2 linked regions of the Xenopus tropicalis genome follow. The protein of the gene in region 1 purifies or fractionates together with the protein of each later gene. This does not show direct contact. Links are inferred from orthologs where the notes say so. Each region holds a gene or a part of one and is shown in the gene's direction. Other genes may lie near its edges.

Region 1 (4,312 bases):
AACAATCTAATTATCCTGGATTCTCCCGATATCGCCCACCCGTAGTTGGGGAGAAGATCTGCTGGCTTGGCGGTAGCCTGTGTATGGGGACCTTAACCTAATAGTTTAACTCTTCCATCACCTTTCGATACTACTTTTATTACATAGTAAATACCTACATCACGACAGGCCAACAGCTGAATTCTTGTGAATCTATCTGGAAGCCTGTGTTGTACTGTATCCTTCTTCACATTCAAGGCCTGTTCTTTTGCAGAGTTATAAAGAGACTGTGTTCCAGTGATGTGCCTACTTCTCAACTTTTACATAACTGAAAGAGTTTTGCCCATGCACACTTTTACCACAAAGGTATTCACGGTGTGTTTGAATATCCTGTCAGTCTCACACCCATTAGCCCAGCCCACAGGGGTACATTACAAAAAGCAGATGCATACAGTCAACGATAAACTTTATTTTATTTTGTCGCCATTCCTATGGTCTTTGCCTTACAGATTTGCAAACGCCAGTCAGGGAACCAGGGCTGCTGCTCCCTATAAGCAGAGTATGCAGTCTGCATAGGGCACCAACTCCCAGGGGGGCACCATCCCAGCTGCTCAAAAAAATCATTTTTATATAACATACCCCCCAACACTGTCCGGTTTTTATAGCGCATCCTGCTGTCCCGGATAGTTCAATCAATCTATGGGGGCAATTGGGGGCACTTACTGTGGGGGCTATTGGGGGCACATACTATAGGGGCATTGTCTATGGGGGCTATTGGGGGCACTTACTATGGGGGCATTGTCTATGGGGGATATTGGGGGCACTGTGTGTGGGGCCCCTATAGTAGGTGGTTTTTTTTATTATTTTTTTTTTACTTCTGTAATATTTGGGGGAGGGGGCACAAAAGTACATTTCTGCTTAGGGCACCCATTTGGCCAGCAGCGGCCCTGCAGGGAACTGTCATCTGGAAGAAGTCTAGGAGCAAAGAGAAGAAATGTATGCATCGGCTCCATAACAACATACCGCCCTGGGTTCAGCCCTTAGCTGCCCCTCACCACAATAGCAATTGTTACGAGTACCGGACGGCGTTGACTATTTAGCTGTAAATTGTCTATTCCCTAGCACTGTGCGAACACAGCAGAGCTCTACAGCACTGCAACCCAAGCTGAGTTTGGAAGGGGCGGGGCTTCTGCCCTGCAGGCACGTCACCTTGCCAACGCATCCCTTACTAATAAAGTTCCCACATTTGAATGTTTTTTTTCCGTACTGGCTACCTCATTCTGTGTATCTGGAATTGTAGATTTTATTTCTCTTAGGGCTTTTCTTGGAGGTTGGAAGAAAATCCAAACAAAGGCACACAGAAATGGCTTTGGAAACTGGGCTTTGGGCACAGCTGGGCCTGCAGGATCGCATGTGGGCGGGGATTTAAACGCGTTCGATGACGTTGCAGCCTGGGCATGCGCATTAACAATGTTCTTGTCCGTGTGTTTTTTTTACTGATATTTTGTTTACTGTATATTGCAGTGATGGAGTATGGGAACACGAAGTAGTAGCAGTGCAGGAGGTGGGGAAACTCCGGGAGATTCTCCAGAAGACTCCCAAAACAACCTAGAGTCACGTGGTCTTCAGAATGATGATGATGAGGAGAACGTTGACCTGGCGCAGGTACTGGCGTATCTTCTGCGCAGGTAACAAGACCCCTGACATGTCCTCCATAAACTTGTCCAACTATATTCTTAGCAAACACTGAAGCGAAGGTAGGATCTTACTTATGGCGCACATTGCTCAGTGTTCAGTTTTAGGGTTCTTTTATAGACAGGTAAGGGCTTTAATAGATAATGAGACAGACAATAAATTAAATACTTCTGGAATCTTTTAGCTCAGCAGTATTGTATAATAGCCACTAGGTGGTCATATAGACTAGGCATCATACTGTAAAGCAGAATAGAATTATACTGCAGAGAGGTGGAATATGTAGCATGGTCATTACCAGAAAAGTTGTTTTTAACCTTAAAGTTGTTTTAATCCTTTACCTGTCACCCATCATAGAATCATCATAGAATCTACTGCTTCGTCACGAAAGTTCCATCATGCTGGCCCCAAAGATTCTACATTTTTGTTGTTTCTATTTGAAGGGTGCAAGGTGTTTACTGGCAACATGCAACACGGTTAGATCAAAAACCTGTGCAACAGAAAGGGTTAAATAGTGTCTCTGTTACATTATTTTAGATCATTTGTAGGTAGTTGCCAGTGTCATGGCATGATACTTTATACATCCAGCAGTTGGGTTCAAATGTGTTGCTTATGTTTTGTTAAATTGAAAAAATAATCAAGGAGCAAGGAGCAAATCAGTGCAGAGTTATTTTAGCATTTTCAATCAATACGAAGCCACCAATACTGAGTTACATGGGGATGAGTGAAAATGGAGACACCACTAAGTCATGAAACATTGGGGTTTTTTGTTTTTTTTGCCCAGTGCAGTGGCCTCTCACCTCATTCTTCTTACTGTGATAATGCTACAGCCCTTTTACTTGTAACGTCAAGTCAAGTACTAGCACCATAAAGTTCTTACATATGCACATAGGGCAGCCAGCAGCTACTCTGTGCTGAAGGGTCAAATATAAAGTTCTTTATGTGCCTGTACAGCACATACTGTAAACACTGCAGTCTTTTACAGTATATCACAGTCTATTCTATCAGTTATAATTTCTATCAGAGGTTTATTTATATCTGAGAGCCTGCCGAAAATTATAGATGGCCCACATGAGCATATTCTTACTTTCTGGGTTCAAACAATTCTGGTCATCAACCTCTGCCCTAGAGAATTCTTCATTTTAATTACCTACTTGCAGCCCTTCAAGATTTCTCCTAAATTATTCTTGAGCAGATTTGCAAAACTTTGAGCTATTGTGCACACTACCTCTACTACCCACATGTCAATACTGCATGTAAACATACCCAGAGCTTGTAAACCACTGCCCTCAAACTTGCTTCCCCACTGAACCCTAGTTCTTTCCCATCCCTTGTGTGTGAGGTATGTCTGTCCTGAGAGTTGGTGTCCTTTTCCATCTTAGGGGACAAGTGCGATTAGTGCAGGGAGGGGGTCCTGCTAGCTTACACCTGGTGCAATCTTTGTCGGACTCAGATGATGATAACGACAGTGCCTGGGAGGGCTGCTTAGGAGACCGCTACATTCCTCCTGGTGAGTCGTCTTGTCTTCACACTTACATTATTGGTAATCCACCTTTGCCACACACCCATGCGGAGTGTGATTCACTTTTAGCTGTTAGTTATAATAAGTTTGACTTTAGTTAACTATTGCTCAAAAAGACGTCACCTTGATTTCATATTATAAGATTCTTACAACTCTAAGCCAGGCATGCATATTTCTTAGAAAATCTATCATGTCGCTAGCTAATATGTGAAATTCATTAATTTTAAGCTTGGTCTTCTGAGTGTAAATTAAATGGCAAGATCAACAGCATTTTTTCTTCATTCTACAGAATTTTCTGTGCCATATTCTCTTTTGGTGTGCTTTTTTCTTTAGTTTATATGCCTAAATCTCATTCAACTTTCCTTTTCTTGAAGTTGATTCAGCCCCAGACACCACATCGCTGGATCAAAATCAGATCAGGACACAGACACTTTTGGCCACAGGAAGACAAAGCACACAAAGACAACATAACATCACACGTCTCCTATTGGAGGTATGACTGGCCTACTTACTGGATGTCGGAAGTATGCTTTTACAACATATTGCATCAAAACCATGTTACACATATGGGTTATATTATACATTTTTCATATGAGATATACAGTATTTTGGGCATAGCCTATAAACCTTGAGTCCAGTAGGCGCAAAGTGCAATGTAACTGCCTGTTCTGCATCTTTACCATGGCTTATCTGCACCCACTGCTATCATGTTCAAACTTTTGCACATTCAATAAGGGGGTGAAAAAATTTGCACCTGTTATATGCTGGTAATCAAAGCTTGCACCCGCAATATAAGAGGGAGTATGTAGGTGGGAAGAATGTCTCCTTGGGTGCCCCTTAAAGAAGGAGTAAACCTTTTTTTTCTATCTTTAAAATAAATTACTCTAAACAACCCCCAGAATAACATATCTTAGTCACTTCCTGGTACAGTGTGAAGGCCTGCCCCCTCTTTCTGTTCAGCTCTGCTCATCTATTCGACTATAGGGTAGTCAAAGAGGAGAGCCTTCTTTGCATGCCTGACAGAGAAGAAGCATTCTGGAAATGCACAGTAAGTCAGACAGTTATGTATAGGCACAGAAGAAATCTGCTGCTGCTGCACACTGGCTCCTGCTTCTCTAT
Region 2 (4,179 bases), on another chromosome or scaffold:
AAACCTATACATATTGGGTGTCAAACTATTCAGTGGACCCCTGGCGTTCAAATTTAGGATGTTTAATTTGGTTACTTTATGACCTGCAGGAGATAAGATACTATAGACTGGAAGCTTTGAAGCTATTTTTTTTAAATTTTACAAATTTTGATAAAAATCAGTAACTTTAGGAAACTTGGTAGTTTGGAGTAGACAGACAGTTGTGCGTATTCTGGATTCCCCAGAATCTGTTTCCAAAAATGTATGATTTCTGGGATAAACCCTCTGTTACTGCAATCTTTGGCCTTGAAACCTGAAGTATGCAGCTTTCTGAACCAGTGCTTTGGAATTTTGGTAGTGTACTGCTTGTAGTTTTTGACCTATACAAGTGAGAAATCTCCATAAAACTATGTATATTTGGTATTGGCACATTCAGGAGACATGGGGCTTTCCAAATCAGTTGTATTTTCGTGCATAAAATAATTTTTTTAGACATTTAGAAGCCTATATCTTGTTACAGAATTGGAATTCTACCATATTTTGAAAGCTTAAATTGTCCTGAAAAAATGATATATTGTTTTTCTGGGTAAACTAAAAGTCCCCCCGAGGAAAGGCCCCTAAAGTGAAAGTTCCGCTTTGACCCAATCGTCTGGAAGTGAAAGGGTTAAGGCATAAGAATTTAGTACAAGATATAAATTTGCCTAGTTTTCATCCTTTTTTTGCTGCACTACATGCCAAAAAAACCCACAGGTAACGCATTCTATTCATAACACTGTAGGTACTTATATGCTGACCCAGTTGCCTAAGACCTGCTATTTTACTGCAGTTCATGATTGTTTAGCTACTTCCTAACTGCAGCCATTGTTGCATCAATAACCTATTGGTTACAGTTTAAACGGAAACCCACATAAAACAGCACTGGGATCCATTTCTTGCTCTGAACCCATTTATTAATCCCATCTTCAATCCAAGCCCCCCATACCACTGTCTATCGCTAGATGGGGTTAATAAAATACTGAAAGACGTCACTGTTAATGACTTTCAAGCAGACGATACCATTTGTAGAAAACAGGAGGGTGATGTTGTAAGTCTTACCCCCACCAAAAAAATGTATTGTTTTTATATGACCGATGTGTGTTATGCTTTCCTGTTTTCTGTAATGTAACAGAATAATGAAGCCGAAATGAAATCAATCCCAGAACCAGGAGAGTTTTCTAAGTTATAATTCTGGAACCTGCAGCTTCCCACACTGTGACTGCGCCTGGCGGAGGGCGGAGGCAAGGCTAGACTTCCGGATGTGCGCAGTGTGAGGCGACGTTGTGTATTTGTGAGCCGGTGTAAGCTGTAAGGCTGGCGGACTTTGAAGAGGCCATGGCCATGGCTGGGAGCAGCGTGGCCCAGAAGACATGGGAGCTCTCCAATAACATGCAGGAGGTGCAGAGCATCGATGAGATCTATAAATACGATAAGAAGCAGCAGCAGGAGATCCTAGCAGCCAAACCATGGACAAAGGAGTAAGAAATGGGAATTGAGAAGGACGGGGGTTGTTTGGGATAGGAGAGACAGAATGCATGACATCCAGGGGATTTGAAAGTTGTAGATCGCTAACAATTGGATGGTCTGAAGTGAAATATACCAATATTGAGGGGTATATTTATCATGCTTTGTAAAAAGTGGAGAGCATTACTGATGATGTTGCTCAGGGCAACCAATCAGCAGTTAGATTTCAACAATTAGAAAACTAAAGCAAAGCATGTTATTGGCTGCTATGAGCAATATCACAGGTAATGTTTTACTCCACTTTTTACACAGCATGATAAATATACCCTTTAGCATTGTGAAAAACTTGAAAGTACTCTACTTGAACTACAATTCCCAGACATCTCTGGCAGCCAGGTGGTTTCAATACTAGTTATTACTATAAGTAAACTAGTTATTACAAGCTGCTGATAAAGCCCCAGTTGCTTGACCACCAAGCTCTATAGATATGCTCAGCTGCATATCTACAGGCCATATTCGCTCAGGGGCATGTGACTTTACATGAAGAAGCTGACGGTCGGTCAGGATTGACTTGTGGCTGTAACACATTGTTACGGAGTGTTTTAGATGCATATGACTGGCCTTTAGAAGTTTATTCGATACAAGTGTATTCAATACTGTTCTCCCTAACCTTGGTGAGTCCTGCTGTTGTTGCTTAGTTTGTCCCTGTTATGTCTCATATCTTATCAACTTTAATGTTAAGACACATCTTGTAACATTTTTTCATTAACCATTTATACATACTTGTAACGCTATAATTTAACTTATTTTCACTTTATTTTCTGTTTCTTTGCTTCTTTCTGCTTCTGTTCTCCATGTTGTTGGTTTACAGTGTTTTTTATGGTTACTATGATCACTTTTTGGCGCCATTTTTTGTGGGATGTTATTTAAAATGTGTGTGGGTATTCAGTCTGTTGGTTTGTCCCTGAAGAATACTGTTGGTATTCCAAACATTTTTTCAATAAACTTGAGCGTGCAGTGCTCTTTATCTAGCCTATCTATCTATGTACAAATTATCACAATTATAAAAACAAAGGTAATATACTGCATTGTATAGCAGTGACAGGGTTTGGAATCTGTAGACCCAAAAACTTTTTCCTCTGTAATTCTTTTATTAGCTTGTATTAATTATGGGGGGATTTGAATATTACAGAGGAAAGAAAGGTTCCTTGTCTCCAGTCCAATTAATGTGTGTATGTTTATCCAGAAAACTTGGGACCTGGGGTTTTCCTGATAAGGGGTCTTTCCATAATTTGGATCTCCTACCTTTAATCTTCTAAAACAAATATGTAAACAGTAATTAAACCCAATAGGATTGTTTTGGCTCCAATAAGGATAAATTATATCTTAGTTGGGATCAAGTACAAGGTACAGGTATCGGACATAAGATACACTGACTAGATTGCCCTTTTACTGATCTTTCATGCAACAGGGCCCTGACACATGAGATTAGTTGCCCATTATAAATCTCCTCTACCATGGGCAACTGATCATCTCCAAATGCCTTCCAACTGGCGATAATGTAAATTGCCGGTGGAAAAACATATGCGTTGCTTTGGCTTTCCAAAATTATGCGAAGTTGCCCTGCAAAGAAACTTCTGACTATGGAAAGCTGTAGCATCGCTTATGTTTTCCCACCGGTGATTTATATTTTCACCAGTGGCAAGGCAGTTGTCTAAACTCCTTGTCTTTCATTGTCCTAAGTGCTGCAGAGAGATCATAGCTGCCTCATACACATTCAATAGGTATATTCGGTTAGCCTTTATAAAATGCACTTTTGTTAAAGCTATGTGATGTGCAGATTGGTGAGATAATGGTGAGCTGCATTGTTCTAACCAAAGCAAACACTGCTTGGCTATTAAAGGGAACTGACTTGCTATTGATTAGCAAGAAAAGAGGCTGCCTTTCTGTTGTTCACATGAAATTATGCCCTGGGTAAGTTTACTTCTTCTTGTTTACAGCCATCATTACTTCAAGTACTGCAAAGTGTCTGCCCTAGCCCTGCTGAAGATGGTCATGCACGCCAGATCAGGAGGGAACCTTGAGGTGATGGGCCTCATGCTTGGAAAAGTGGACGGGGAGACTATGATCATTATGGACAGTTTTGCTTTACCAGTTGAAGGAACTGAAACCAGAGTCAATGCTCAGGCTGCTGCTTATGAATACATGGCTGCATATATTGAAAATGCAAAGCAGGTACCTTGCATCCTGGCTTAAAAATTATACCATTTAAAAGGAAAAGATAGTTTTCTCTTCTCTCAGTTCATTTCCTTAATTGTCATCTCTACTGCATAACATGCTTACACAGTGAATACAGTGTATAAAGACAGTAATAATGTGCAATACAAGTAGGACAATACTTATTTAAGCTTTAACATTCATTTAACATTAACAATTATATATGTGTATTCTAATTACAAAGTTGCAGTTTTCCTTGAGGAGGATATGCTTGCCCAGATAGGCTGTCCGTATACACAGCAGCTAGGATTCACTTTTTCTTTTTTCTAATTGTGGCAGACTGTTCACATTTAACCATATTTCATTGTGGAATTAGCACTGGTGAACATTTAAATCCTCAATTTTCACAGTTTGAGACAGAAAAGCTGTTTTCTTATGACACTAGGCCTGCACTTGTATGGTTTTTCTTTTTCATTCAGTAGA

What was found. Proteins that work in one complex are often made in the same cells at the same time.
Region 2: the proteins of dcaf11 (region 1) and cops5 purify together in Homo sapiens (affinity purification with mass spectrometry; 6 studies listed by BioGRID and IntAct, with this or other methods). This does not show direct contact. The link is inferred for Xenopus tropicalis from reciprocal best matches to the Homo sapiens genes DCAF11 and COPS5.

The regions. Positions count from the first base shown.
Region 1 is NC_030677.2:139,470,450-139,474,761, reverse strand, and holds the start of dcaf11 (DDB1- and CUL4-associated factor 11), read left to right. Parts: upstream 1-1,500; 5' UTR 1,501-1,512; coding exon 1,513-1,667; intron 1,668-3,053; coding exon 3,054-3,181; intron 3,182-3,567; coding exon 3,568-3,686; intron 3,687-4,312. UniProt on the Homo sapiens protein: May function as a substrate receptor for CUL4-DDB1 E3 ubiquitin-protein ligase complex.
Region 2 is NC_030682.2:119,216,915-119,221,093, reverse strand, and holds the start of cops5 (COP9 signalosome complex subunit 5), read left to right. Parts: upstream 1-1,341; 5' UTR 1,342-1,350; coding exon 1,351-1,493; intron 1,494-3,479; coding exon 3,480-3,714; intron 3,715-4,179. UniProt on the Homo sapiens protein: Probable protease subunit of the COP9 signalosome complex (CSN), a complex involved in various cellular and developmental processes.